Pelodiscus sinensis: one gene and its partner. The protein of the gene in region 1 binds, or shares a complex with, the protein of each later gene. Links are inferred from orthologs where the notes say so. Each region holds a gene or a part of one and is shown in the gene's direction. Other genes may lie near its edges. The genes, in order: MYO3B and ESPN.

Evidence for each region.
Region 2: the proteins of MYO3B (region 1) and ESPN are in contact, whole or in part, in a crystal structure (PDB 5ET1), measured with the Mus musculus proteins. The link is inferred for Pelodiscus sinensis from reciprocal best matches to the Homo sapiens genes MYO3B and ESPN. Residues at the interface, in XP_017174528.1 of Mus musculus: Arg1223, Arg1224, Gln1226, Gln1227, Pro1228, Lys1229, Met1230, Leu1231, Ser1232, Ser1233, Asp1236, Thr1237, Met1238, Tyr1239, Tyr1240, Asn1241, Gln1242, Leu1243; in NP_997570.1 of Mus musculus: Leu35, Ala37, His41, Arg45, Ala67, Asn69, Ala71, His75, Asp76, Ala79, Thr80, Asp101, Ser103, Leu110, Arg113, Phe114, Thr135, Thr137, Ala139, His143, Tyr144, Ala147, Thr169, Asn171, Tyr177, Leu178, Gln181, Ala203, Asp205, Met207.

Annotation. Positions count from the first base shown.
Region 1 is NC_134717.1:40,285,351-40,299,908, forward strand, and holds the start of MYO3B (myosin-IIIb), read left to right. Parts: upstream 1-6,842; 5' UTR 6,843-7,025; coding exon 7,026-7,289; intron 7,290-12,467; coding exon 12,468-12,602; intron 12,603-14,558.
Region 2 is NC_134733.1:24,168,024-24,182,933, forward strand, and holds the start of ESPN (espin), read left to right. Parts: upstream 1-7,893; 5' UTR 7,894-8,132; coding exon 8,133-8,426; intron 8,427-14,910. UniProt on the Homo sapiens protein: Multifunctional actin-bundling protein. Plays a major role in regulating the organization, dimension, dynamics and signaling capacities of the actin filament-rich microvilli in the mechanosensory and chemosensory cells.

The DNA of each region.
Region 1 (14,558 bases):
ACTCAATGTAGTCTGGACGCGCTTTGTCGACAGAAGTTTTGTCGACAGTATCTGTCGACAAAACTTCTGTCGACAGAAGCCTGTAGTCTAGACGTACCCACTGTGTCCAAACTTCATAGTGCTTAGAGGAGGGTGTTGCTAATGAGCATCTTCTTGTTTTACCTATCCTAAAGGGAGTTGCCACAGGAGCTAATTTACTGGATATGGTGCATTGTTTCTGTCATAAGCCAGGAACTATGGGATCTACGGGAGCAGTAGCACCCCCGGCTTGAAGTGGTTTCTAGCACATGGTTTACAGTTTTGTTCAGTGGCTCTTAGCACTCCCACTACACAAATTTTTCCTGCACCCCTGGTTCCTGGTGTGTCGGGTGGTTTGGGTTGGGGCTCTCACTGGGCTATGTTCTGCTGTATGTACACAGATGTTTCATGGTGTTGACTGAAGTTCTTCTTGAGCATGTTTGGTCACTTTAATTCCTGTTTCCTTGCAAGCTATAGGTGCTCTGCATCTCTTTAAATTGGGCACCTTTGTGTGGATTTAGCTGCCTAATTTAGGAACATCAGATTTGCCAGCCTGGATCAGATCAGGGTCCATTTAGCCATTGTCTTGTCCCTAACAGTGGCTAGCACCAGCTGCTGCAGAGGAAGGTGCAACAAATACTACAGTGGACAACTGTGGCATAATCCATCCACAGGGAACACTCTTCCTGACCCCCATCAGAGGTCAGATTACATTCTGAAATCTGAGGGTTTCTAATCCCTTCCAAACTTTTGGTTGATCATTTTAATCCTTCCTTGTGCCACTCTAGAATTGCGCTTTCTCTATATAAAGGTCCAATCCTTTTCTGAATGTTCCTAAGATCTGGGGCCCAATGATACCTTGTGGCAATGAGTTCCATAGGACCATTGTGTTAGGTTAGAAAAAATGGGATTTATTTTTTTACTGGTTTTAAATCAGCTACCATTCCAAGCCCTTGAACATCGCCATGTCATTGAATTATGGCAGTGGGTGAAAGAAGTACCCAATTATCTTCTCTAGATACTGTATGATATTTACTATGCTGTTATGTCCTTTCTTCATTTTCTATTATGTTCTACAGTAAAAGTCATGAAGTGTCTGCAGGGTTATTGTAATGAGTAGGTGACTGAGGACATGACCCAAGTTTTGAAAAGGGTCATAAATCATAAAGTCCTAACATGCAGTTGGTGCCACGTCATATTATTCTGACCCCAACTGACAGTGGACATCTGGGAGTTAAATAATGATCCTGAGAAAGATCCTGCAGTAATTTATACAGAGATAAAATTTCCCAGGAGGAAAAGAGGTTTGGGAGGCTTGTTTCTGAGTGTTCCCATTGTAAAAAAACCAAAAGCAAAGGTAGCTGCAAATTCTCAGGCCATGATAGGTATTAAAAGAATTTCTTCCATTTCAGTACTGCTTTTTTTTTCGCACTTCATCTGTCTATTGCTGGGGCACTGTTAACCTGAATTTGGGGCCTAAATCTTCAAGGCTGATTGTTGACTTTAGGTGCATCAGTTTGAGACTGAGTACAGAGGCCTGACTCTAAAGGTCAGGTCCCTGTCTCAGCACTGTCGCAAGGTGCATTGAGTTAACTCTCACCTCCAAATCACTTCACATTTCTGAATATTCTGTCTTTCATTTATGTAAACAAGATGTTAAATATCACAACTGCTATGAAATCAGTCGGATCAGACTCATGTTGACAAAGGGGGTAGGAAGTGTACTTGCAACATGCAGCCCTTGTATATCTGGGAGCATCTCCAGGCAACACCTGTGACTTGGGCCTGATGTGCTAGTTCTGAAAGAGGGCACAAAGACCAGAAGAGCCCTGAGCCCCATAGACAGGTTCTTGTGTCTTGCGCCAAACAACTTTGAAAGACGTCAGAGCTGATTAGTGTAAGTTACACAGGAAAGATTTAGACTTTAAGGATGCTGTGACCTAAACATGTTCAACTTTCTGTGCATTTGACTGGAGAGTCTCTCCTTAATTAGCTGAACACATTAATCACTGAAATATATTAAAAAAGCCAGAAGCCTATGGGCTTCATTGACAATAACAAATTATCTGAGGCTATGTCTACACTACACTTCTTTTTCAGAAAAAGGTATGCAAATTGCACTCTGCAATTTGCATTCCTTTTTCCGATTCTTTTTTCTGAAGAGGCTTTTCTGAAATTTGACCCAGCTACACTAGGCCAAATTTCAGAAAAACCTCCTCTTTCAGAAGATCCTTTCTTCCTTCTGAAACAAGGTTTACAGGGCTTCCTAAAGAGTGCGTCTGCTCTTCCGAAAAAAATTTCGGAAGAGCAGACGCATTCCCAGGATGTGGCGAAGTTTTTCCAGGATACCAGAGGTATTCCAGAAAAAACTCCATAGTGTAGACGCAGCCTGAATGTTCAGTTTCTGAGAAACAAGTTGAAGGGAAATCTTTTAAACATGCTGTAGCTCAACTGCAAGTTATTGGGCCGGAGAACGTATTTTAAAATGTTCATGATGGCAATATTTTTAAGACCCTGATCCTGCAGTTTGCTCTGCCTGGGCGAACCCCATTGGCTTTGGGCTAGTGTAGGTTGTTGGGTTGAGTTTGTGGGGGGCCAGTTGCTGGTTGGTGACCTGTTCTGTACAGGAAGTCTGAATAGATGACCTTTTGGTCCCTTCTGGCATTAAACTCTATGACTGTGGCTTGGATGCTGCTCTGCACAGGCTACGGAGTCTGCCTGTGCAGACTAGTTTGCAGAATCAGGGCCTATAACATTTCATTGCCTGTACATGAGTAAGATTTGCTCTTATGTGTTGCCTGCACCCTCAGAGTAGTGTGCTGTTGTGATATTTCACAAGACAAGCAGCGCCAGGGTTGGCTGGTGCTTGGCTAAGAGACCTGTAAAGAAAAGGAAGTGCTGTGCGTAGTGTCGATGGGTTAGTGGGAAGGGCTTCTTTTGGAATTGGTTCAGAATCCGTGTCCCAGCGGGAGCTGCAGGAGAGATACAGTTTTTTGGTACAGAGAGAAAATGATGCTGCTGTCTCCCCTGGTGCTCCAAAATCCTAGTCCCTGGCCAAAGGCCAGTATACAAAGCTTATAACCTGCTTACCACTGTTCCCTCTAATTTTCTGAGTCCATGTGTGGAATGATTTTCTTTGTGTGCACCAATATGGAGGGGATGTGTCAGAACAAAAGTCATTCTACATGCAGACTGTGTGGACAGGGGTGGCACCAATGTTTTGAGCTGCAGGAGGAGCTCAGGTCTGGGTCAGAGGTTTTGATTGCTGGGCTGAGGATGAGGGGGTTGGAGTGTAGGTTACCCTGAGGAGAGAGGACTAACCGCAGCCCTCTCCTTGCAGCAACTTGGGGCCAGGTGAGAAGCCCCTCTCCATGGGCATCTGCAGCTCCAGCAAGTACAGCTGGAGGAGGGGCACGGGGCACCTGTCCTCCAGGCTAGACTGCTTGGAAGCCATAGAAAGGATGCCTATTCCCCAGCAGCCGGAGCGCTGGGACAGATCTGTGTTGGGTGCCATGGCTGCGGGAGAGATCCTCCCCTGGAGCACCAAGCTGCCATGTCTGGGGAAAGGGAATACCCCTTCCCCAGCCCCATCATGGACCTGCCATGGCTGATGGCAGGGGGAGCTGCCCTGGTCAAGGGGAAGAGAAGGCACCCCCATCCCTGGCTCTAGCACAGACCTGAGAGGTAGATGTGCCCCCAGCCCCAGCAGGGCACCCACCCCGAACTCCTATGCGGGATTTGTTAGGGAGCAGCGATGCATCTTAGACAGAACTTGGCTGCCTACCCAAACCACTGTTTGAATATAGGATGCTTTCTTAAATACCTGCCCTCAGCAGGTTTTCTGGAGCTCATTTTAATACTGCACAACTGTTACCCTCTGCCTCAGAGGTAGCTGCATTTCAGTAGAAGATAAAATGGTTCCTCTTTCATGAATCTGATTCAAAATCCAGTGAAGCCAAAGAAGTTGAGAGAGAGACTCCCAGTGAGCACTGGTGCAGCGCCATAGTCATTAATACTATGATAATGATGATTATTAGACTGGATCAGACCTTGCCCAGAGAGATGTTGTATAAAAGGGCCCACTACAAAGGTTAATCCTCTAGCAAGATATTTAGCAGCCATCTGAAGATCCCTTGCTTATGTCTGGGATGGATTTCAGGAAAGCAAAGCATTCTGGAGTTGAGAGACCTTCTATGAGGGGATTCATTGTAAATGAATGTATAGAATTTTTTTTTGTTAAGTATCCATTAACTTAAATTTCAAAACAATGTTGTATCAAGTCCAAAAAATGAGAACTTTCTTTAGGAAAAATTCTGAAAGTGTGTGAGGGAGAGGGTCTTTCAAAAATGTTAAAAACATTTTTTTATTGTTTTTGTTTAAGCGGGAAATTTGTAACAACCATTCTTCTCCCACAAGTGGTTTTGGTTTTAAAAAAACAGCATTTCCAGGGCTCTGGACCTGGGAAGCTCCAAGTGGCCTGAACACGAAAACTATAAGTTCAGCTATGAGTTCCAATGTGACCTCTGGCCACTTGCATAGAACAATCAATTTCAAAGGCCTAGAACCCTCACTTCAGACAATGCCATACTCTCCTCTTGGAACTACTCCGCTTTGTATAAATACTCATTGAGCCAGAAACACAAATTGACTCCCTAACCTGGTGAGTAAGAGCCTCGGGACCAGATCCCTACATGGACTGATTCAGTTCAGGGACATGGTCTGGGATTTCTCACATCCAAAAACTTTCCTATCTACTGGTTATTCTGGGGGCCTTTGTCTCACAAAATTGGGGGACTAGGCAACACAATGGCAGATGGAGTTCAGTGTTGATAAATGCAAAGTAATGCACATGGGAAAACATAATCTCAACTACACATACAAAATGATGGGGTATAAATTAGGTGAACCCATCAATAAAGTGATCTTGGAGTCCTTGTGGATAGTTGTCTGAAAATACCTGCTCCCTGTGTAGTGGTAATTTTAAAAACCTAATAGAATATTGGGACTCATTAGGATAAGGATTGAGAATAAGATAGAAATTATCATATTGCCTCTATGTAAATCCAAGGTATGGCCAGATATTTAATACTTTGCGCAATTTTGGTCATCCCTTCTCAACAAAAAGATACTAGATTTGGAAAAGTTACAGAGAAGGGCAACAGAAATTATTAGGAGTGCTGAACACATTCAATATGAGGAGAGATTAAAAAGGCTGGCACTTTTCAGTTTCAAAAAGAGATGATTAAGGGGGAGGACTCTTTTCCAGAGAATGTTATGAAGGCGAGTTATAATGGGGATCAAAAAATAACTCAATAAATTCACAGAGAATAGGTCCCTCAATTTCTGCTGTTGTGTGATAGAAATGTAGCCGTGTTAGTCTGGTGTAGCTGAAACAAAATACAGGACTATGTAGCACTTTAAAGACTAATAAGATGGTTTATTAGATGATGAGCTTTCATGGGCCAGACCCACTTCCTCAGATCAAATAGTGGAAGAAAATAGTCACAACCATATATACCAAAGGACACAATTAAAAAAAATGAACACATATGAAAAGGACAAATCACATTTCAGAACAGAAGGAGGATGCGGGGGGGGGGGGGGGGGGGGAGGAGGAGGTAAATGTCTGTGAGTTAATGATATTAGAGGTGGGGAAAGGTAAATGTCTGTGAGCTAATGGTATTAGAGGTGATAATTGGGGAAGCTATCTTTGTAATGGGTAAGGTAGTTGGTGTCTTCGTTGAGCCCCCCGTGGAGAGTGTCGAATTTTAGCATGAATGACAGTTCAGAGGATTCCCTTTCAAGTGCAGATTTGAAAGTCTTCTGGAGTAGGATGCAGGTAATTAGGTCGTTGAGACAGTGTCCTTTCTGGTTGAAATGGTAAGAAACTGTTTTTTCTTTGTGATCCTGTCTAATATCTGTTTTGTGGGCATTGATCCTTTGGCGAAGTGTCTGAGACGTTTGTCCAATGTACATAGCAGACAGACAGTTTCGGCACATGATAGCATAAATTATATTTCTGGATGCGCAGGAATATGTATTCTTGATCTTATAACTCTCACTTGCTGTTGTGTGTGAGCAGCTAATGCCATATTCTGCATGCCCCTCACCCAGTTCAATACAGGCAGTCCCCGGGTTACGTACAAGATAGGGACTGTAGGTTTGTTCTTAAGTTGAATCTGTATGTAAGTCGGAACTGGCATCCAGATTCAGCCGTTGCTGAAACTGATCAGTTTCAACCGTGGCTGAATCTGGACGCCAGTTCTGACTTACATACAGATTCAACTTAAGAACCCCAGGCATCCCCAAGTCAGCTGCTGCTGAAACTGATCAGCGGCTGATTCCAAGAAGCCCGGGGCTGGGGCTTCCTGTAGTCAGCCACTGGTCAGTTTCAGCAGCGGCTGACTTGGGGACGCCTGGGGCAGAGCAGCTGGGGTGCTGCTGGGTTAGTCCAGTAGCGCCAAGGAGCTGTGCTGCGGGACCAACCGGCAGCGCCCTACCTGCTCTACCACAGGCCCGGGGCTTTGCTCCACATCTCCCTGGTCTGCTGGGGGGGAGGGCACTAGCGGGGTCCCCCTCCCCCAGCAGACCAGGGACACGGGGAGCAAAGCCACAGCAGCGGGGTGCCGCGCCTCGGCCTCCCCGGCTTTGCTCCAGGTGTCCCTGGTCTGCTGGAGACGGTCCCCAGCAGACCAGGGACACCCGGAGCAAAGCTGCAGCAGCGGCGGAGTCCCGCGCCTCTGAGGCTTTGCCAGAGCAAAGCCTCAGAGGCACGGGACCCCTCCGCCTCCCCAGCTTTGTTCCGTGTGTCACTGGTCTGCTGGAGACGGTCCCCAGCAGACCGGGGCACCCGGAGCAGCTTTTCTCGCCCCGGAGGTCGAGGTGGCGGGACCGCTGCGCTCTGGGCGGTCCCACTGCCTGCGAGCTCCGGGGCGAGAGAGCCCCGTTCGTAAGTGCGGATCCGACATAAGTCGGATCCGCGTAACTCGGGGACTGCCTGTAAATAAATGAATAAGAAACAGTTGAAAGAAATCCCACAACATTCAAAAATGTACAATCATTTTTCACAACAAACTTTGTTTTCCAGGACACCGCTATATGGATTATTTCAATGTAATCCCAATATGATTAGACTGGCATCATTAGCTGATCCCTCAGATACTTGGGAAATTATAGAGACCATTGGAAAAGGCACGTATGGTAAAGTCTATAAGGTTGCCAATAAGGAAGATGGGAGTCTGGCAGCTGTAAAAATTCTGGATCCTATCAGTGTAAGTAAAAGATTATAATCCCATTTTAATCATAATGTCATTGTTCAAATTAAAAGGTTTTACTCTCAAATAGGCTTGATGCTCTGACTCAGAGTTTAGGCAAACTGAAAACGTCCTGGAGGGAAATGTTAAACAAATTATGAGCAGGGTTGAATCATTTTTTGAATCATGGGTTACTTGATTTAGAAGGGGAAAAAAATGTTTCAACCCTGAATCCAGCTTCATAAGGACCCCTTTGTAAGACTCTTGTATGATTTAGCACACAGTCCTACGAAGTGCTAAATCTGTTCAGAGCAGACTCAATGATCTCTTTAGAATAATTATTTTTGCCTTTTCTGTATTTGTGAATCATTCATGGCTTGCAGGGCTGACAATAGATTTTGTTGAGCTCTGAGGCAATGTGTGTGTGGAGGGGTTGGCTCCAGACCCAGCCTCTAGCAGAAGGGGCCACATGACCCGCTCTGCATGGAGCTCCGGCGGCAATTTAAAGGGATTTGAGCCATGTGTCCTTTTAAATCACCAGACACCACCCTCTGGCCCTGGGGCAACTCCCCCCTTACCCTCCATCCCCGCCCATTGGTGGCCCTGATGACTTGATAGAATTTGTGGTTAGTTGTAATTCACAAATACTCATTATTGGTTTTATGCAAATTTCAGCCAATGAGATGTTAGAAAACGATTGACTCAAACTATTCTCATTGTTTATTTAAGTCACATGGCAGTCTGTTCCCATATTGGGTGACTGAAACTTCTCACACAGCAGAATATCAAAATGCAAATGACACTCAACGGATGGTAACTAAGTAGGGAATATGCTTGTTCACGTACAAATATGTGTTCATATGATGAACAGGCAACCCCTAAATGTCACAACAAGAATAATGAGAGGCCTGAATTTGATTGACCCAAACAGTCACTTGGAAATTGCACCTTGTTTTCTGTTTTTCAGCCAACTCTAGTCCTGAGCACTTTCTATTCAGATGCCAATGGGAGTGAAAGTTATTTAGCTCCTGGTGAAGAGCTGCCCCTTACAGAGTCTTATATGCTATTCAGAATCAGCATTCATGCTGACTTTGATTTCTGGCAGCACACCTGAGTAATTCACTAGTACAGATTTTAGGTCTGCAGGATTGCAGCAGCTGGAACATGAACATGATCAGACTGTACAGTGGCATTTCCAAGACACTTATGGTCAAATCTTACATTCATACAGTGCTGTTCATCATGAAGGATCTCACATCACTGTAAAATCTAAACAAACTCTATTATGGACAACCTGCACCCACCACTGAAGTGCTTCCAACTGTAGAATAGAAAGCAGCAGTTTTTTATCAATGCACAGCGACCGCGCACAATAGTTAAGACAGGAACTGAGGAATACTGTCAGGAATTCAGCTGCCTGCAGTCGCCTAGCAACCCGATGTGCTCAATTGCGTCCAGTAAGCCTTCATTAAGTGACTGTTCTCCCTGATTGGATGGAAGAGCCAACTGATCCATACTGAAACCTGGTGGCACCAGCAGCACCCAAACCTGTGTCAGACTTGCTTCCCTTCTAACCCTGGCTCCTTTCCTTACCGGTCCTCGCCAGCCCTGCCAGCCTCTGAACACCTAAATGTGAATTTGACAAGGAGTTTCTGGGCTGTGTCATTTCTCCAGCAGGACTTGCCATGGACCCTCACAAGGTTGCAGCCATAACAAGTGGAAGGCCCCCTTGAATATATGAAGAATGCAATGATTTCTTGGATTTATAAATTTGTACCAGCAGTTCGTCCAAGGACTTGTTGACCTGGTAGCCTTTATAAAATCCCTCCTCAGAAAGTTCACCTGATCCCCTAACATGCAGGCAACTTTCGATGACTTGAAAAAGTTTTTTTATTTTCTGTCCCCTATTTTAACCTATCCAGAGCCTACAAAGGCATTCATAGTTAAGACCAATGCCTTGGACTTTGCAATAGGTGTGGTCCTCGAACCAGTTGCTTCATCCCTATGCTGCCTTCTCTTGGAAACTCTCTCCTGGTGAGAGATGATGTATGGGGCAAGGAGATCCTGGTCATCCAGTCTGCTTTTGAGGAATTGTACTACCTCCTTGAGGGGGCCTATGTCCTTGTCCACGTCAGGACAGATCGCAAGAATTTGGAGCATTTACAGGGAACACAACGATTCCATTAATGTAAAATTCACTGGGCCCTTTTCCTCTCTCAGTTTGACTTTATGGTTATGTACTATCCTGAGTCTATGAAGAGAAGACCAATGCCTGCAAGAATGAGTACTATGAAGGGGAACAGAAAGCCTTCACTTTCTCTTTAAATAGTTCCAATTTGTCTGTGGGGTCCACACTGTTCAGTGGATGACCACTATCCAATTCCCAAGATCAGGTGCTACGGTTGCACCCTGAGTCACCAATGGCAGGACATTTCAGTCAATTAAGAACCTGGTACCTGATTATTAGTTATTCTGGTGGCCAATCCTATGAACAGATGTTAAAAACTCCTCCCACCCAGACATCCCACCCCCAGCCTAGTCCTGTACCCTCCCCTGCTCCTGTCCCCTCCCCCTGGCCAGATACCCTGCCTAATCAGGGCCCAACCCCTATCTGGCCACAGTGACCTGTTCCCAACCCTGATCCTGGGACAGGCCCTGTGCTCAGCCCCCATCTGGCCGCAGGAAGGACTGGTAACAGCCCCCCTCCTGCTGCAGCAGGGGGTAGGAGGAGGGGGCATGAGCCTGCTGTGGTAGACAGAAAGGGGTTGGCCAGCTCCTGTACCTCCCCCTTAGCCAGACATCCCTCCTGGACAGTCTCTCCACCCTCCCTCTCCCACTGGCCAGACACCCTACTCCCAGCTTGCTCCTGCATCCTACCTCCCACCCAGACCTCAACCCCTCCTGCATCTACCTCTGCCCATATCCTGGCTGCACCTATCCCACGCACTGGCATCCCTGTCATGCACACTGAACCCCTCATTTTTGGCCCCACCCTGAGCCTAGGGGGACCCAAAATCCACTAACCCTGGAACCCCAGAAGAGTTAATTTGGCTTGAGGCCTTGAACCTCAGTCCTTCCTCTCCCCACCATGGGGCTGGGACACCAGAGGAGTGAGGTGTTTTGGTTGGGGGCCACATCCATGAGGGCTGGAGGGTTTTGGAGGGGCTTTTTCCTCCCTTTTTACTTGTGTGGTCTCTGACTGATTTTTCTGTAAGTCAGTGGCCCCCAACCCAAAAAAGGTTTCCCCCCCGCCATAAATAAAGACAATGTTGAAACCTGTTTTTTGAACATAATATTTTTACTTTATTTTAAATGAAGCTTGGCCTGCAAGGCCTCATTTGGGGCTCAGCCCCCATCTGGCCTCAGCATCCTGTTTCTAGTCTTAAACCTGGGGCAGGCCCAGTAGTCTAGCCCCCATCTGGCTGCAGGAAGGGCTGGCGATGGCCCATCTCCTGTGGCGACATGGGTAGGAGGAAAGGCCACAATCCAGTTGTGGTGGACGGGGGGGGGGGGGGGGGGGCAGGCAGGAGGCGCAGCCCTCTAGTATGAGATTAAAGGAGTAATACATCAGGGTTTTGATACAGCAAACTATCTCTATCCAGCAAATTACTTAAGCACATGCTTAACTTTGAATCATGTGCTCAAGTCCTGTTAAAGTCAAAGTCTGTGCTGAATAGGAATACACTTTAAGCATGTGCTTAAGTGATTTGCTGAACTAGGGCTCATGAAGGGCTTATTGTTCAGTATAGTTGGCCCTTTGTTATTTCATCTTCACAAAAATCATCTTTAGACAAATAATTGGTACTATGTGCTTATTTTGTGGATTTTGATTTTTACTCTGTTTAATAGTTCCTATATTTTTTACTGTGTGCTTTAGTTTGTATAAATGTCTCCTGTTTTAAAGATGTATTTATTTATATTCATGACCCATTTAATGTATTTTAGAACTGCTATGTAAACGGATTCATCTAATTACTTTAAAAAGAAAAAATGAAGCTAAGATCCATGTGTTTACATTAGCTCATCTATCAGAAATGCCAATTTAAGAAACAGATTAGAAAAGATATATATGCAAATTTTCCATTTAGACAAGTGAGCCAACTTTTTGTGGTAGCAGTGTATTATGCATTAAGAGTACCCTTGAGGCAAAACTCCTGACTACACATGGAGTTCACACTTTTATTTGTAATAAGACAATTGTGGTGTGATGGATTTTGACCAGATTTTGTAATTTGATTAGACTGTTTTCAGTGCATGACAAGACATTTAACAGTATAACATAATGTATAGGTGTTTCTTTTTATCCTTTAATATTTACTTGCTACAAGATTTACCTGGTGTTGCTCACATCCTTAACTCAAATACATTTTGTTTTTCTTAATTTAAATCATAGAATCCTAGAATACTAGAACTGCCAGGGACCTTGAGAGATTGTCAAGTCCAGTCCCCTGCCCTCAGTGCAGGACCAAGTACCATCTAAATCATCCCTGACAGATGTCTATTCCATCTGCTCTGAAATATCTCCAGTGATGGAGATTCCACAACCTACCATTGTTCAAATAATTGTTCAGGGGGGCAAGTGGGGTGGGGATGAGGGGTTCAATATGCAGTCTGCCTCAGGGAGATAGGAAAACCTGGTACCTGAAAACCTCAGTAGTTTGGGGCCAAGTGAGAAGCTCCTGTCCCTAGACACTGCAGCTTTAGCGGGCACAGCACAGGGGAGAGGTGCATGTTCCCTAGCTGTGAAATAGACAGACACATAGACAGACAGACAAACTCTCTGAAATATATAGTAGATATTTGTCCCTTTCTCTGCCCTTGCCCCCTGCTGGACTGATGGGGTTACAGCTGTCCTGATTCTTATTTCTGGCCCCCTTGCTGCTCCTGTGTGGTCATTCTAAAGTATAACTGCCTCCTACCAAACCCCGCCCTTTGCATTTCATGAGAAATAGTTGAATTCCAGGCACATTGCATTGTCTTGGCACAACCAAAACCTGACTTTGCCTTAAGTTAGACAAGGGCCAAATTTGATGTCCCTTTTTCTTACTATTTAGGAGGAGTTTTTGAACAAATGGATGGACAGACCGACACACAGACAGACAGACAGATACACAAACGCTCTAAACTATATAGTATATGTATTATACTGAATTATTATATATGCATACATCACATTTGTTTGCATTTTCCATTTAGGACGTGGATGAGGAAATTGAAGCAGAATATAATATTTTACAGTTTCTTCCCAATCATCCCAATGTTGTTAAGTTTTATGGAATGTATTACAAAGCGGATCAATACGTGGGAGGACAGCTCTGGCTAGTTCTTGAGGTAAGATATTTAGATAATCTTAAAACTTAATTAAAACAAATTTTTAGGGTGCAGTGCTCCCTTTTAGAAGTGAACAAACAGAACGAGCAAATAGTGGGTCTCAGTGTTCTCAGTATTCTCATCAGTCTGGCTATGGGAGGTGTTTGCAGATCCACCTGTCAAAAATACATTTAGTGTTAATTCATTAACAAGCCCCAGAGGTGGAGGCATGGTGGTAGCACTTTATTGATACACAGGGTACTTTGTTCTGCCTTTAGAAACATAGAATGGGTTCCATAATCATTTTCTTACTTGAAGGCAAACAGTCATTCCATACCAAAGAAAACACGTGTTAGTGCTGAGACATCAAGCCCTCATTGAGCAATCCAAAGAAGACTTCATGATAAAGTACCACACACAATATTTATCAAACCTAGCACTAGTGCAAATGTGGGCTGACAGGATACAATGGCAGTGTAAAATTAATATCAGGATGCTGTTGAATATCTAGCACTTGAAATGGCATATGCAGATTTTGCCCATTTAGAAGGCCTCTGTGTTCTCAAAATGAGAGATGTCATTCAGGCTACACTACCTGACTGCAATCGGTCCAAAATTTCACTCAGATGATTAGGATGTTTCTAAAGGATTAATTGTGTATGAAGCCCAGCATGAAAATTAAAATGATCTTAAGGGGGAAGTTGCACCATACCACTAGTTTTCTAGGACATCATTCTATCATAAGAACGACCATACTGGGTCAGACCAAAGGTCCATCAAGCTCCATATCCTGTCTACCAACAGTGGCCAATGCCAGATTCCCCAGAGAGAGTAAACACAACAGGTAATCATCTATGTTCTTATGTTCTTCAGTGGACTAAAAGAAGTTGGTCCTTAATTTAATGTCATATGGTGATGGAAAGTGCTACACCTAGAACTAACATTTTATATTTATTCATAGAAAAGAAATATGACAGAGTTCTGTAATGCAGTTTAACCACTCTTTCCTAAAAAAAACCCCATGCATTAGCTCTCCTATGCAAGGACCTGTTCTAGGGGCAGGGTTGTTTCATCCCAGAGCTTTCTATTGACAACCAACATGGGTGTCATTGCCAGTTTTGGTGGTGATTTTTGTGCATATAGCTATTTGGAGAGAATGTGATTCATTTCACATATTCTATTCGACAACCATAAGATAGTATAGTTTTTAATCAACTTGAGTTGGAAGTGATGGCCTAGAGCTGAAAGACTTCATATCTCATTACCAGTCCCTTGAGATTACTTTTCTATTTGACTTTAGCTTATAATGAAAAAAGAATGTGAATAAAATTAGCACAATGTATCTCAGTAGTACGTACAAAGTACAATAAAGATAATAAAGACTATACATGGCATTGATGGGTTCCCAGGCAAATAACTAAACATGGGTAGGTAACTGCACACACTCCTTTCCACTTAACAGTTTAGGTATGTTATAGTGGCTTAAGAACTCCCTCCTAACTGGATGGAACAAGATACCAGGTAAAAAAGGAAAAAAGAGCTTTTGCATCAACCACTGATGAGATATTACTTCAGGGCTATGTCTACACTGGCCCCTTTTCCGGAAGGGGCATGTTAATTTCAGAAGCCGTAATAGGGAAATCCGCGGGGGATTTAAATATCCCCCGCGGCATTTAAATAAAAATGTCCGCCGCTTTTTTCCGGCTTTTAAAAAAGCCGGAAAAGAGCGTCTACACTGGCCCCAATCCTCCGGAAAAAGCGCCCTTTTCTGGAGGATCTTATTCCTACTTCAAAGTAGGAATAAGATCCTCCGGAAAAGGGCGCTTCAAAGTAGGAATAAGGGCGCTTCAAAGTAGGAATAAGATCCTCCAGAAAAGGGCACTTTTTCCGGAGGATCGGGGCCAGTGTAGACGCTCTTTTCCGGCTTTTTTAAAAGCCGGAAAAAAGCGGCGGACATTTTTATTTAAATGCCGCGGG
Region 2 (14,910 bases), on another chromosome or scaffold:
TGGCCCCGGGTTCACGCCCTGCCTGCGGGAGCCCTGCTGGAGGGCGAGGTGCAGCGATGGCAGAGGCCACGTGACACCAGCAGGGGTCTGGGCTCTCGCCCGCCGTGCTGAGCTGGGCGCTGGGCGGGGAGACAAGGAGCTCGCCGGGGGCCTCCGTGCCCGGATTCACTCCTGTGCCGGCGCTTTCAGGGGCGCTCTCCGGCGCGGGGCGGGAGGGCAGGTGAGCGTGAGAGCAAAGGGCCTTTCCACCCGGCACCACCAGCCCAGGCGACGCCCCGGGTCCAAGCGCCAGGTCTCTGCCAGCCCAGGGGAAGTGCCGAGGCCACACGGGGGCAGGAGGGACGTGCTGGTGCCGGGAGGGGCTCTCGCTCTGGGGGTGGGGGCAGGAGGGACGGCCGGACGGACAGCTGGCCAGTGGCGCCCAGGTGTGCGGGGCAGAGCATGGGGCAGGAGGCTGGTTCTGCCTGGCTCAGGACGGTGCTCGCTGCCCTGGCTCCACTCAGCACCTGCACTGGAGCCCCCTGAGCTGTGTCACCTCGGACCCCCCGGGCACCCCGGGGCCTCGGGCTCTGTGGGGGGGGGGGGCTGAGCTTTCAGGTGCTGGGTGGGCAGCACCATCTAGTGGGGGAAGGGTGGAATGGCAGGATCGGGGCCCTGCCCAGCCTCCCCCACAAATCGCATGTCCCCTTGCTCCTAGGAGCGCCCCTTCCAAGGGGGCTTCCTGCCTCCCACTGGGCAGGGGCAGGGCAGGACCCGCCCCCTCCCCGCAAACTGCTCCGGTGGGGGGAGGGGGGACCAGCCCAGACCCACCGCTCCCTCTTGCACCCCCCCCCCCCCCGCGGCTGCAGGAAGCTCTGTGATGGCTCCCGTCCGGCAGCTCAGCGTGAGCATGGCGATCCCGTGGCCCCCCAACAGGCTTGTGACGCCCCCGGGCAGGGCCCAGGTGCCAGCGCGGTGACATTTCAAGGGCAAACAGCTGGAAATGTGACATTTGCCAGTTTTAAATCCTGTGGCCGCGGGACGGTGCATGTGGCCGGGCCCCTGCCCTGACGCGGTTCCAGGGGCTGGTCTGTCGGGCAGGGGTGGCTCTCAGCAGACCTTGGCTGCTCCGGCCTGGCAGGGGGTCTGCTCGGGAACCTTCCTCTGGCACGTACAAGCGAGCCAGGGCCGGCTGGGGGAAAGCCTGTTTCCCTGGCCCCGCGGGGGCAGCCACAGGGTCTGGCTCTGAGCTTGGGAAGGAAAGGGGGAGGCAATGGCCAGGGCCTGAGCGCCAATGTCAGGGGCTCCTGGCCGAGGCTTGCCCAGCGGGGCCCCGCGCTCGGCCGGCCCCCTTCGCTCCGGCGACATTCCCGCCCTGCCAGGGGCTGCCCTGAGCTCCGCTGCGGGACCCGAGCCAATGGCAAGAGGCTCTCCCAGGCTGCCGAGCGAAGTCCAGCGAGGGCCTGCAGGCTCCCGGGGAAGGGCCCAGGAGGTCCGGCCTCGCCGCTGGGCTCTGCCAGGCCTGGCTCAGATTCACCCTCCGCAGTGCCGCAGCCGGGCCGGAGCAGGGCATCGGCGCTGCCGTCCCTCGGCCAGACCCCGGGCAGCGCCGGGACCCTCCTGGCCGTCCTCTGCGGGGCCTTTGCCGTGGCCAGCACCGTCGCCACGCTCTGCACCGACTGCTGGCAGGTAACGCGCGCTTGGCTTCCGGCCTGTGCCCTTGGGCCCCCGGCTGGGGAGGCCTCCAGGCCGAGGAGGGCTGGTGAGTGCAGGGCAATGCAGCAACCTCTCCTATCGGCCTGGGGTCCGCAGCGCTGGGCAGTGCCCAGAGCAGCAGTAACCCTCCTCCCCGCGCCTGCTCCAGCAGCACGCCCGTCCCTCCAAGGGGCACTGTGCATTCTAGTCTTGCCAGGGTCCTGTGCAGGGCCCATCACCGCGGTATCTGACCCTCCCCCCTCGCCTGCTGCTTGGGGCTGGGTATTTGCCGGGCTCTCGGCAGCCCTGGCTCGGTGCGATTACCCAGCGCGCTCCAGCCGGCGCACACACCTGCGCGGCGAGAGCAGGGAGTCGTCCCAGCTCGGTTACTGCCCGCTGGGCCCTGCGCTCCGCACGGTGGTGCTGAGACCCAAACTCAGGCGCAAACTGTAATGACCAGTCCAAGGCTGCTCCTGACCCGAGCGAGAGAGCGGGGCTGGAGAGCCGGGCCAGAGAGCAGGGCCTGGAGCGCGCAGGACGGGCCTGGCGAGGGCAGAGAGGGGGACGGGAACCGGGATGTCTCGAGTACATGACGGAACAGTCCAGGGGCTGGGGGCAAAGGGGATTTCTCCCTCTCTCTCCCTCTGAGCAAACGCTGCGGCGACGCCAGGGTGTGATCGCCCCTCCTCCCCTCTCAGATTAACAGCAAAGGCTCCGTCGCCCCGAGTACCCGGTGCCGTGGCCTCTGGAGAGTGCGTCTGGGACTCCTTTGCCCAGGTCTGGACCTGTGATGTGTTCGGCTCCTACCTTTGCCAGGGCTCTGGGCCTCCAGGCAGCCCTGCCCTAGAACCACCCTGCTCACCTGTGGGGCAGGCTCATGCAAGCAGGTGTCAGGCTGGGCAGACTGTTTGGTGCTGAGCGGCTGCCGGCGCTAATCTCACTAACAGCTGTCCCACGCGGGAAGGGCCTCGCCAAGCTGCTGTTCTGTGAAACCCGGCAGACGGGAGAGACATCGTGGGACGTGCTAACCTGCCCAGTGGGAACGCTCCATGCACGGCAGGTGGACAGAGCCCAGGAGACGTTTGCCCTGCCCTGTGAGATGAACCATGCAAGCACGTCTCCCATCAGCTGGCCCTGCAGCTCCGGGGGTTAAAAATCCCTACCAAGGAGCCATGGCTCCCTGTCGCCCGAACACTGGGGGACAAGGGTCCAGGAAGAGGCAAGAGACCCTCCCCACCCCACCCCACCCCGTTCAGCCTGGGACAGCCCTAAATGCCATGGAGAGCTTGCTGCTTAGAGAGGCCACTAGTGCTGTTTAGAGAGAGAGAGAGAGAGAGAGAGAGAGAGAGAGAGAGTGTGTGTGTGTGTGTGTGTGTGTGTGTGTGTGTGTGTGTGTGTGTGTGTGTGTGTAAAAAAAAAATAACCCGTTTCCTTTCCCTACTCTAGTTCCTTGCAGGACTGGTGACACGTGTTGTCTCTGGATAAGGTCCAGGAGGAAATGGCCGGGGGTAAGTGAAGGGGAGCCCCACAGTGCGGGTCTCTACCAAAGCAAGCCAGGCCTGTCTCAAGTCTGGTGCACAAAAGGACGCAGGCCAGGCTCCGGGGGACGCTTGGAGAGGTGGGAATGGGTTTTTGCACAATCAGGCAGATACAGCAGGGTGCAGTGAGACCACGCCAGGGCCATCGGGAGGAGCCTCGTACTGGTACAGTCTATTTCCGAAAAGCAAAAATTCAGGGTACAGCTGTAAAACTATTAACCATGCACATCGTTTCGCAAGATCCTCAGTAGCAGGATGTCCCCCGCATTGGGCATTGTAGGGATTTACACGACACGTCATCAATTGGTAGCTAGCACTAGAACGGTCAAGTCTCGCTCTGCTAGAAAATAGTCTCAGGAAGAAGAGTCGATGGGAGGCAGGGAGGGAGCAGGGCTGACCCACAGGTCCTGTGCATTGTAACTAGAAGTAAAAGACCCTTCACGCGGCTACGGCAGTGCCCGGTGCCCCGAAGAATGAGAGTCAAAGGGCCCACGAACCTCCTGCCTGGTACCGTAGGTGGCATACGGGTGACATGTAAGTGAACTGTAGTTAATAGAAGATTTCTTACATTGCTTTTGTATTGTTTTGTGCTGTACTCATTGCTTACGATGGATAGTACTAAGGTTTAAATTGTACAGTCGTTGTTCTTAAGGCTTGTAAAACTTAACACCTGTATGAACTGCTCAAAGCTTGCAATAAGTAAGGAAGTGGTTACGTCTCTCTGGAGTGTCCTGGTTTCCCTCGGATCCAAAACAAATCGAACCACACGTAAGTGGCTGGTCCTTTGGGACTGGGACTAAACTGGAAACTGACTAGGACTGTGAGCTCGCTTGGGTGGGGCGGTGGACCGGAGGCACCGAAGGGTCTGTCCCTGACTCCCTGCCTGGGAGGGGTTGACACGTGTGCGTTGGCTGGTGGAACGAGGTCCAGGACTCAGCTATTGGAGCTTTGTGCCCTGCTCCTAAGCAGGGGGCCCTGCCGAGCAGCCGGCAGTGACTTGAGGCGGGAGTGCCCGTGCAGGAGCGGCCCTAGACGAGCTGCCGGCAACGGGCGCCCTAGGCGAAACATGCGATCGGCGCCCCGCCTCCAAAGCCTTCAATGGCCATTTATCTTGGTGCCCTAGACGACCACCTAGGCCACCACTGTGCCCGTGACATGCACAGCCGAGGGAGAGTGCCCCCTGGCCTGGAGATCACGTTTCCCTCGTGTCGCTGAACCTCGTGATATTGCCCTCATGCCACAATGATGAGATTGGTTCATGTCGCAAGCCTGTTTTTCTGGTCCAGCTGCTCCGTTTGGCCGGGTCTCCAGTGCGAGAGCAGCCGGGAGAGGGAAGGAGCACTAGCCGGCGCCCCCCACCTGCTCCTGTGGGAGTGCCCCCTCCTGCCCCAGGGCCCAGCTCCTGGGCGAGGCCTCTGGGTGCTGCTGTAACCCACCGATCACCTGGCCCGCGCGTCTCTGCTCGGCCTTTGGGACAGGCCCTGAACAGCGCTCGCAGGGCAGCAGCCACCAGATGGTCGCAGAACCGCCAGCCTCGTACCAGTCCTTCAGGGGCATCATTTGGAGAGGGTGGGGGGCAGTGACCCCCCTCCCGAGTTTGAACCCCTGGATTTCAGGCTTGGGGTCTGCCCAAAGCCCACACCCTGACTCCAGAGGCAGCTCTCAAATGCTAGTTTGGGCTGCTGCAGCTTTGCCTTTGGAGCAGGGAGTTTGTTATCAAAGGGGAGGGGGATTAAGAACAACAAAAGGCTGGTTATTCAGGTAACTGAAGGATCCTTAGATCTCCATGAAAACAAAGCCGGGGCCTCCACTTAAAAGACAGGGGGAGTGTAGGAATGAGTGTTGTGCTGCAGGGATCTGCATTTGGATCCCGGCTGTTAAATGTCTCACAAATGTTCCTGAAAAAGGGTGACCAGTGACTACTCCAAAGCTGACCGCAGAGTCCCAAAGGGATCTCCCAAAGCTGGGTGACTGGGCAACACAAGGGCAGATGGAATTCAGGGGCGAGAAGTGCAAAGTGATGCACATGGGACAATATAACCCTCACCATAGATACAACGCTGGGTCTACAATAGCTGTTCCCACCCAAGAAAGCGATCTGGAATCCTTGTGGATATTTCCTTGAAAACATCTGCTCAATGTGCAGTGGCCATTTGAAAACTAAAAAGCTAACGGAATAATGGAACTCATTAGGAAAGGAATAAATAATAAGGCAAAATAGCCTATTGCCTCTCTATAAAATCATGGTTATGCCCGCATCTTGAACACTGTTTGCAGATCTGGTCACCTCATCTACAAAAAGATCTACTGAATTTGGAAAAGGTACAGACAGGGCAACAGAGATGACGAGGGGTAGGAACAGCTTCCATCTGAGGAGAGATTAACGAGACTGGGACTGTTCAGCTTGGAAAAGAAATGGTTAAAGGGTGGGGGCTATGATAGAGGTCTGGACAACCAGGAACGGTGTGGGAAAATAGAATGAGGGAATGTCGTTCAGCCCTTCGCTAACAACACAGGAAGCTGACCCAATGATGTGTATAGGTAGCAGATTTAAAACAAACAAAATAAGTGACAGGGGATGGATCGTGATGATTGCCTCCTTTGTTTATTCCTTCTGATGCACCTGGCGTTGGCTACTGTCAGCAGCAGGATATAGGGCTAGAAGGACCACTGGGGATATGTTGGCAGTCTAGAAAATCAGGAACGGTGTGGAAAATTGGAATAAGGAAATGTAATTCATTCCTTCACTAACAGAACACAAGAATTCAATTTATGGGCAGCAGATGTAAAACAAACAAAATAAATTAGTTTTCCACAGTCGACTTGTGGAACTCCTTGCCAGGAGACGGTGGAAAGGCCCAAACTCTAACAGAGTTCCAATAAGAACAAAATAAGTTCAAGGAGGATCGGTCCATCCATGGCCACAACCCAGACTGAGCGGGGATGGAGCCCCTAGCTTCATGTTGCCAGGAGCTGGGAATGGGCCACGGGGTGAGTCACTTGTTGATTCCCTGTTTATTCCTCCTGACACACCCGGCATTCGCCCATGGCAGCAGACAGGACACTGAGCTAATGGGCCTTTGGTCTGACCCAGTCTGGCCATTCTGGGTTTCTTATATGGAGCTGAAATGGACCTGCCCCTGCTGTAGCCCACTAGCCCCCCCCCCCTGCAGTTAGTAACTAAGCCCAGACATCCCGGTAACCCGCGTCCGTCAGGGAGGTGCCGCAAGGTGTCAGAACATGTGAGTGTCCGAGCTGAGGGGTCCGACAGTTATTCCATTGTCTGTCTGTTAGCTAGGAATTAGGCCCAGTGCTCCTGCCAGCTGACCGCTAACTGTCTGCCAAACCCAGAGTTTCTCGGTGCCTTGGCAGCCCTGGGCAGACACGCTGTGTGCGCGGGGAGGGCGGAAGGAATTGGTGACCCCCCTGCCCCCACTAGGTGCTTGGCTTGTACTGAGCATGCTTAGTAACACCGCTGCAGCTGCTGTCCCTCAGTCTGCCCCCCCCCCACGCTCTCACTTCCCCCATCACAGCTCCCCCCCAAATGGCGGGAGCAGGCCCAGGCAGTGTACCGGGGAGGTGGCGATGGGACTGCGCTTGTGGCAAACGCCCCTGCCTTCCTCTCCAGCCAGGCACAGTCCCGGGGCTGAGTTGGGGGGGGGGCGGTCCTGGCACCCCTAGGCACAGGCCAGACCCAGGCACATGCTGCCACCAGCGCCCAGTGGCAGGGCGGGCAGGACTCGCCTCGGGCCTGGCCCGGAGCAGGGAGGTCGGGCAGGCAGGACAGGGCTGCCCTGCCAGGCTGCGGGGTTCCCCCTGCTCTGAGTGATGCGGTCAGCAGGGCTCCCAACCCATTGTCAGGCCCCTCCAACGCCTGCTCGGCCCTGGGCACGTCCCCTGGCTCAGCGCCTGCCAGCCCTGCTGCTGCCGGGGCTCCAGGGACTCAGCCAAGCGCCCGGGCCAGCCTAGAGGGTTTAACCCCTTCCTGGCCTGGGCTGAGCGCCGGGGGAGGGGGACGCTCCCCCGCGGCTCCTGCCATTCCCCAGACAGGGCGGAGGGAAGGAGGAGCCGCCCTCGGGGTGAGATCGCTGCGCGCTCCTGCCGCCGCCTGGCTGCAGTTCCCCGAGGCCGGAGGCAGGGAGGGCTGAGGAGCCGCAGGAGAGTCTGACCCGGGGGGACGGGACGTGCCAAGAGCAGGGGCCATGCTGCGCTGTGCGCCGCGGTAGTGCCCGGGAGCCCCAGCCAGCCTGACAGCCGGAGCGAGGGGTGGCGGGGCGGGAGACCCCAGGCACAGTCCCTGGGCACGAGACACCACGGACAGTTCCTCGGCCGCAGCGCAGGAAGAGTCCCGGGGCGCAGCGCAGGAAGGGTCCCGGGGGCGCAGCGCAGGAGGAGACCCGGGGCGCAGCGCAGGAAGGGTCCCGGGGCGCAGCGCAGGAAAGGTCCCGGGGCGCAGCGCAGGAAGGATCCCGGGGCGCAGCGCAGGAAGGATCCCGGCGCAGGAGGAGACCCGGGGCGCAGCGCAGGAGGAGACCCGGGGCGCAGCGCAGGAAAGGTCCCGGGGCGCAGCGCAGGAAGGATCCCGGGGCGCAGCGCAGGAAGGGTCCCGGGGCGCAGCGCAGGAAGGATCCCGGGGCGCAGCGCAGGAAGGGTCCCGGGGCGCAGCGCAGGAGGAGACCCGGGGCGCAGCGCAGGAAGGATCCCGGGGCGCAGCGCAGGAAGGGTCCCGGGGCGCAGCGCAGGAAGGGTCCCGGGGCGCAGCGCAGGAAGGGTCCCGGGGCGCAGCGCACAGGTCTGGCAGTGCCCGGCCGGCAGCTCCTGGCCCGGGCTCGCCCTCCCGGCAGCGCGGCGCGCTCCAGAGGCTCGGCGCGGCGGGCCGTCCCATGGCGCCCCCGGGCTGGTGAGGGGCCGGTCGCGGCGATGGCCCTGGAGCGGGCCCTGCTGGCCGCCCGCCAGGGGGACGTGGACACCCTCAAGTCGCTGCAGGCGGAGGGGCTGCTGCAGCCGGGGCTGCGGGACGCGCTGGGCGCCTCGCCCGCTCACCACGCCTCCCGGGCCGGCAAACTCAACTGCCTGCGCTACCTGGTGGAGGAAGCGGCGCAGCGGGGCAACAGCCGGGCCCGCAACGGGGCCACCCCGGGCCACGACGCGGCGGCCACCGGCAGCCTGGCCTGTCTCCAGTGGCTGCTCACCCAGGGCGGCTGCAGCGTCCAGGTGGGCACCTCGCGCGGCCCCTCCGCCCTCCCCGGGCTCAGCCCCTCCCTGGCTCTGGGGCACCGGGGGGCGCAGGGCGGGGCTCAGGGGCGCGGGGAGGGGGGGACCCAGAGCCACGGACCCAGCTGTAACCGAGCCGGACCCGCCTGGAGCCAGGGGCTGGGCTGCCCCCAGTGCCCTGGTGCCTGCGCCCGGCCTGCAGGGGTGGCACTGGCTGGTGGGCACCGGGGGCTCTCCCCTGGCCAGGTCGGGCTCGCTGGCTGCGGGCAGCGGCAGGGGCTGTGCTGTGCCCTGCGGGAAGGCAGGGAAGCCGCGCTCCAGGGCCGGGCACCGCCCGCTGGGCTGGCAGCAGGGCAGTGGCACTGGGCACCCGTCGCCGCCGGGCACTCATGGCCCCCGGGGTGGCCGAAGACGGGGAATGTCACCAAAGGGGAGTCACAGGAGCAGGCCCCTCCCGGCTTGCGGCTGCCCTTGCATGGCTGGCTGGGCTAGTGGTGAGCGTGTGTGTCTATGACTGTGTGTGCGTGTGTGCATGTGTGTCTCTGTGTGTGTGTCTAAGTGTGTCTGTGTGTGTCTATGATTGTGTGTGCATGTCTGTGTGTGTGAGTGTCTAAGATCATATATACCAAGGGATACAATTAAAAAATGAACACATATGAAAAGGACAAATCAAATTTCAGAACAGAAAGGGGATGGGGGGGGGGAGGTAAATGTCTGTGAGCTAATGATATTAGAGGTGATAATTGGGGAAGCTTTGGTATATATGGTTGTGACAATTTTCTTCCACTATTTGATCTGAGGAAGTGGGTCTGGCCCACGAAAGCTCATCATCTAATAAACCATCTTGTTAGTCTTTAAAGTGCTACATAGTCCTGTATTTTGTTTCAGCTACACCAGACTAACACGGCTACATTTCTATCACTAATAAGACTGGGACTTTTCAGCTTGGGAAAGACTAAGGGGGGATAAGATAGAGGCCTAGAAAGGTATGGCTGGTGTGGAAAGAGTAAATAAGGAATGAAGACAGGGTGAATCAAGCCCTAAGGCCATAGAGAAGTCCTCCCAGCAGGCTAGAGTGGCTGTGGAGCACCCAGCCAATCAGGAGCCAGAGGGACTATATAAGAAGCTGCAAGACTCAGGGCAGCCCAGACCTGAAGGCTGGTGGAACCAAGGATGGCTCAGAGTGGGGAGCTGTTTAGGACATTGCCTCGAGGAGGGAAAGCTCACAGACTTCAAGGTCAGAAGGGACCATTATGATCATCTAGTCTGACCCCCTGCACAGTGCAGGCCACAGAATCTCTCCCACCCCTCCTAGAATAACCCTCTCACTAGATCTCAGATATTGAAGCCTTCAAATACTTTGAAGGCCCCAAGATGCAGAGAATCCTCCAGCTGTGATCTGTGCCCCATGCTACAGAGGAAGGCGAAAAACCTCCAGGGCCTCTGCCAATCTACCCTGGAGGAAAATTCCTTCCCGACCCCAAGTATGGCGATCAGCTAAACCCTGAGCATGTGGGCGAGACTCACCAGCCAGACCCCCAGAAAGTTCTCTAGAGTAACTCCTATCATCCCTCCATTGGCCTATTCCCACTGATAATAAGACTCTGGGGGCACCGCTCTCCTCGTGAGTGGGGAAGCAGACTGAGAGCCTGTGCTGGACTCAAGACCCTGCAGAGGGCACTGGGATGGGCCCCTGTTAGAGGGGCACCCTGGAAGTGGTTTGTGACTGTGCACAAGGGAGAGCGGCTTGGCCAGAGGGCTGAGTAGCCACAAGGCTTTTAAAACTGAGGCAGTGCAGGAAAGCGTATGCAGCCAAAAAGGGGGGTCTTGTGGGAGGTGAGTGCCGACCCCGTTCCAGGCAATGTTATTTACTCCTTCCCATAACACAAGAGTTACTCAATGTAATGAATAGGTGGCAGGTTTGAGACAAACAAAAGGAAGTACAAAACACACAGTCAACCTGTGGAACTCCTTGCCAGAGGATGTTGTGAAGCCCAAGACTTTAACAGGGTCCAAAAGAAGCACTAGCTAGATTCCTGGAGGTTAGATCCATCAATGGCTATTCGCCAGGGTGGGTAGGGTGGTGTTCCTGGCCTCTGTTTGTCACAGCTGGGAATGGCAACAGGGGCAGGGTCACTGGATGAGTCCTTGCTCTGTTCACTGTCTCTGGGGCACTGGGCACTGGGCAGCCAGGACCCTGGGTCTGACCCCGCCTGGCCGTGCTTGTGTCTCTGGACAGGACGACTCGTGGTGGCATTGGCAGTGGCCGCTTTGGAAGCCAGGCCCCGGGGGTTGGTTTCTGCAGCGCAGCTGGGATCGCTGAGGCGGCTCGGAGCTTTCCCAGGGTTCTGGGCAGCCAGGCTGGGCCAAGCGTAACGGGCTCAGCCAGCTGTTGCCAGTTGCCTGTGGGCTGAGGAGAAGCAGTGACTTGGGCCAAAGGCCCCCTGCTCACCTGGCCTTTCTCCCATCTCCTGCTGCTGATCCCGGGTCCCTCCCGGCCGGGCAGGTTCCCTGGGGGCGAGGAGTGTGGCAGGCCGGTGTCACAGCGGGCAGGGGGTGCAGAGCGAGAGGACGTGAGTGAGGAGTCACATCCCCGCACTGGGTGCAGAGCTCCCTCGGGGCCGGATCCAGCGGGACGTGCCCTGCCCCTCCAGACGTCTGCCCTGAGTTACGAGGCTGGTGTGCTGGGCCATGGCAGACGCCCTAGTGCCGCTCCTGGGAGTGCCACCGGACACCTCACTGATGCTGTGACCCCTGAAATTCCCTCCCTGCAGCCCACTGGCCCCCGAGCCCTCGCACTGCACACGGGTGATGGGGCGCGGACGTGGCAATTCAGTGGCACTCAACCTAGTTTGTACTCAGCCCGTCCCGTTGTCAGTGCCCAGGGCTCCTGCCGGTAGATGGGACCGAGCTCGGCAGCGGGTTCATGGAGTCAGACCATTTTTTCCATTCATGTGCAGAGTGAATTTTGTTGTGTGCACTGAGGCAGGTGCGGAGGGGCACCACCAGCAGGAACACTGACTGTGGGCACCCTGCTAATCAGTGGGTGGCTGCCGTCAGCGTTCGGGGATCCGATGAAACCGCCCCAAGGCTGGGTGCGGTGTTTCCGGGTGGCCCAGACATTGCTGACGCCAAGGGCAAGCGCCCTGCTGACTGCCGCAGGGGGTGGCCGCAGGGCTGAGATGCCCATGGGGCCGTGCCAAGGGGCTCGTGCTGTCGGGGAGCCCGGCCGCTGCGTTCCGTCGATGGGTCGTTCCCCGGGGCCGCGGTCGGAGCAGGCACCGAAAGGCTGAGCCGCTGCTGCAGCTTGAGCGGTGCAGACGTGGGCTGTTGCGACACAGCTGTGGGCAGCAGGGGAGATGAGGAAGCAGGGGGCAGGTCAGCCCCACGAGGCGCTATCTTGGCTGAATTCCATTTGCTGTTTGCTCCACGGTGTCGGGAGCGCTGTGACCCACACGGGGCTGTGCGTAACCAGGCGACCGCCTGCCCGGCAGCCAGCTCAGCATTGCTCTCCGCTCTGGCTGCGGGGAACATGCCAGCTCCCCTGGCGCGGGGCCCGGCGGGGGCAGGCCAGTGCCCAGGAGAAACAATCGGTGAATTGTCCGAGCCGGGGCTGTAGCTAGGGGGTGACAGGCGCAAGCTCCCACGGGTGCCCTCTGGTGAGAGGTGATACGTGCCAGTGGCTTGCCCAGGCCGTCCCAGGCTGCAGGCTCCTCGGGCCGGCCTGTCGCTGGGTGTCCAAGAGCCCCGCCGTGTTCGCAGGGAGGTTTTGCAGCGGGTGGCGACGGCCCCGCGCGTGTCTCGGCACGAGAGGCTGAGCGTGCAATTGCCAACTCCCTGCATTCGGGAGTCGTGCGTCGGGCTCTGGCGCTCACGAGGCCAGCTTCAACATCCCGCCCCTCGGAGGGAGTCGCACGGGCGGGGTCGTCTGGCCTTATGGTGCGCTCAGGGCTCGCGGCCAAGTTTCGCTCCCAGCCACCTGGGCTAGAAGCTTCCTGCCTGTTAATGAAAGCGCAGACCCCTCCCCCGAATAAATCACCTGACTCTTGCAGCTGGGTCCTTCAAACACCCAGTATCACGAGACTTGCAATCGTCACCTGACGTGGCAGCAGTGCCGGGTGGTGCAGCGTGGCGGGGAGAGCCCATTCCGGCCTGCCCGCTCGGTTCTGGTGAGGTTGGGTTGCCGTGAGCCGTCCGGGAGGGGCTGGGGGAGCTTGTACAGGGCAGAGCTGGAGGGCCAGGGCCAGGCCAGGCAGTGTGAGCACATGGCGATGGAAAAGGTTTCTTGTTGCCTAAGATGGATAAGTCGGTGAGCCTGACGGGTCGCTGCTCTCCTCGCCGCTCTCCTCGGCCCCTTTCACTGCTCGCAGGGGCGCTCTGGCTGCCCCGACAGCTCCCCAGACGGCTCCCCAGAGCGCCCGAGTGGTTCACGGCTCCCCAGACGGCTCCCCAGAGCGCCCGAGTGGTGCACGGCTCCCCAGAGCGCCCGAGTGGTGCACGGCTCCCCAGAGCGCCCGAGTGGTGCACGGCTCCCCAGACGGCTCCCCAGAGCGCCCGAGTGGTGCACGGCTCCCCAGATGGCTCCCCAGAGCGCCCGAGTGGTGCACGGCTCCCCAGAGCGCCCGAGTGGTGCACGGCTCCCCAGACGGCTCCCCAGAGCGCCCGAGTGGTGCACGGCTCCCCAGATGGCTCCCCAGAGCGCCCGAGTGGTGCACGGCTCCCCAGAGCGCCCGAGTGGTGCACGGCTCCCCAGACGGCTCCCCAGAGCGCCCGAGTGGTGCACGGCTCCCCAGACGGCTCCCCAGAGCGCCCGAGTGGTGCACGGCTCCCCAGACGGCTCCCCAGAGCGCCCGAGTGGTGCACGGCTCCCCAGATGGCTCCCCAGAGCGCCCGAGTGGTGCACGGCTCCCCAGAGCGCCCGAGTGGTGCACGGCTCCCCAGACGGCCCAAGTTGTTGCCCGTTGGGAGCTGAGTCACCCCATGCAAAGAGGGAAGAATTAACAGGCTGCAATGCTGGAGCAAGGCCAGCGCCGGGGGCCCTGGCTGTGCGTAGTGATGGGGCTTCAGCTCTGAGCGTCCGACCTTATTCTCGGATGTGAGTCTCCTTTGGGCTCCAAGCAGGCCTGGCGCTAGGCACAGATTCTCCCCCCCCCCCCCCCCCCCCCCCCCCCCCAGCTGTCTGGCTCGTTTTGGGTTTGAAGTTTCCCTGCCGAGGGCGAAGGTCCCAGACCTGCGGCTGGGCTGTTCTGAAGCCCTGGTTCCATCTCTCATTCCAGGGAGTAGCTTGTTCGCATGCAAATAGACCAGTGAGCAGAGCTCCCTGTAAGCTGCTCACGCGCGTGTGGTTGCTCAGGAGAGTCAAATGCTGCCCAGCTGATTAGCAGCGCGCCCACAGCCTGGGTTTGTTTGTATCAGTGGTGCACGTCTGCACATCTCAGTGCACATAACAAAATTGATTCTGCACATTCATGGAAAAAATCTGCGCCTGGATGGAAGAGATCAGCCTGGCAGAGCTGGGAAGGTAGAGCACAGCTGGCTGCACATCTGTCGCTCTCCTGCTCTGATGCCCTTCAGAAGGGGCTTTGTGCTGTGTCTGGCTCCGGGCAGCTGAAGGTGATGGCCAGGGAGCGGGCCTCCCCAGCACACCCCCCCGCACGCCCAGCCCTGTGTCTCCGGCTCTGTGGGCACTGCTCGGACGTGCAGAGCGCGGGCGCACGGTGTTACGGCGGGAGCAGCACCAAGAGGGGAGCAGTGGGGGGCGAGAGCGTCTCACAATAGCCCGTGTCTGCTTCTAGCCAGGGCACAGTCTCTGCCCCCGAGACGTACGCACAGACAGACACAGGGGCACACACACGCACAGACACACGCAGGGGCACACACACGCACAGGCGCACGCAGGGGCACACACACGCACAGACACACGCAGGGGCACACACACGCACAGACGCACGCAGGGGCACACACACGCACAGACGCACGCAGGGGCACACACACGCACAGACACACGCAGGGGCACACACACGCACAGACGCACGCAGGGGCACACGCACAGGCACACGCAGGGGCACACACACGCACAGACACACGCAGGGGCACACACACGCACAGGCGCACGCAGGGGCACACACGCACAGACACACGCAGGGGCACACACACGCACAGACGCACGCAGGGGCACACGCACAGGCACACGCAGGGGCACACACGCACAGACACACACACACTGGTATCCCCGTTCCCTTGGATACAGGACACTGGGTTGGGTGTTGCTTTAGCAGCTCTGGGCTGCTCCCTCTCCGCACCCCCACCCTTCCCATTTCCTGGCCGGGGTCCTCCTGCAGCTGCCCGTCCCTCCTGCATCCAGGAGCTCCGGGCTACCGAAGGCCTCTATAGCCTTCCCCCCCCCCCTCCCGACCCCAGCCCCGCCCTGCCGTGGGCCTGCCCTCTGGCCTCATGCCTCCTCCAGCCTTTGGCCTCTGGGCTG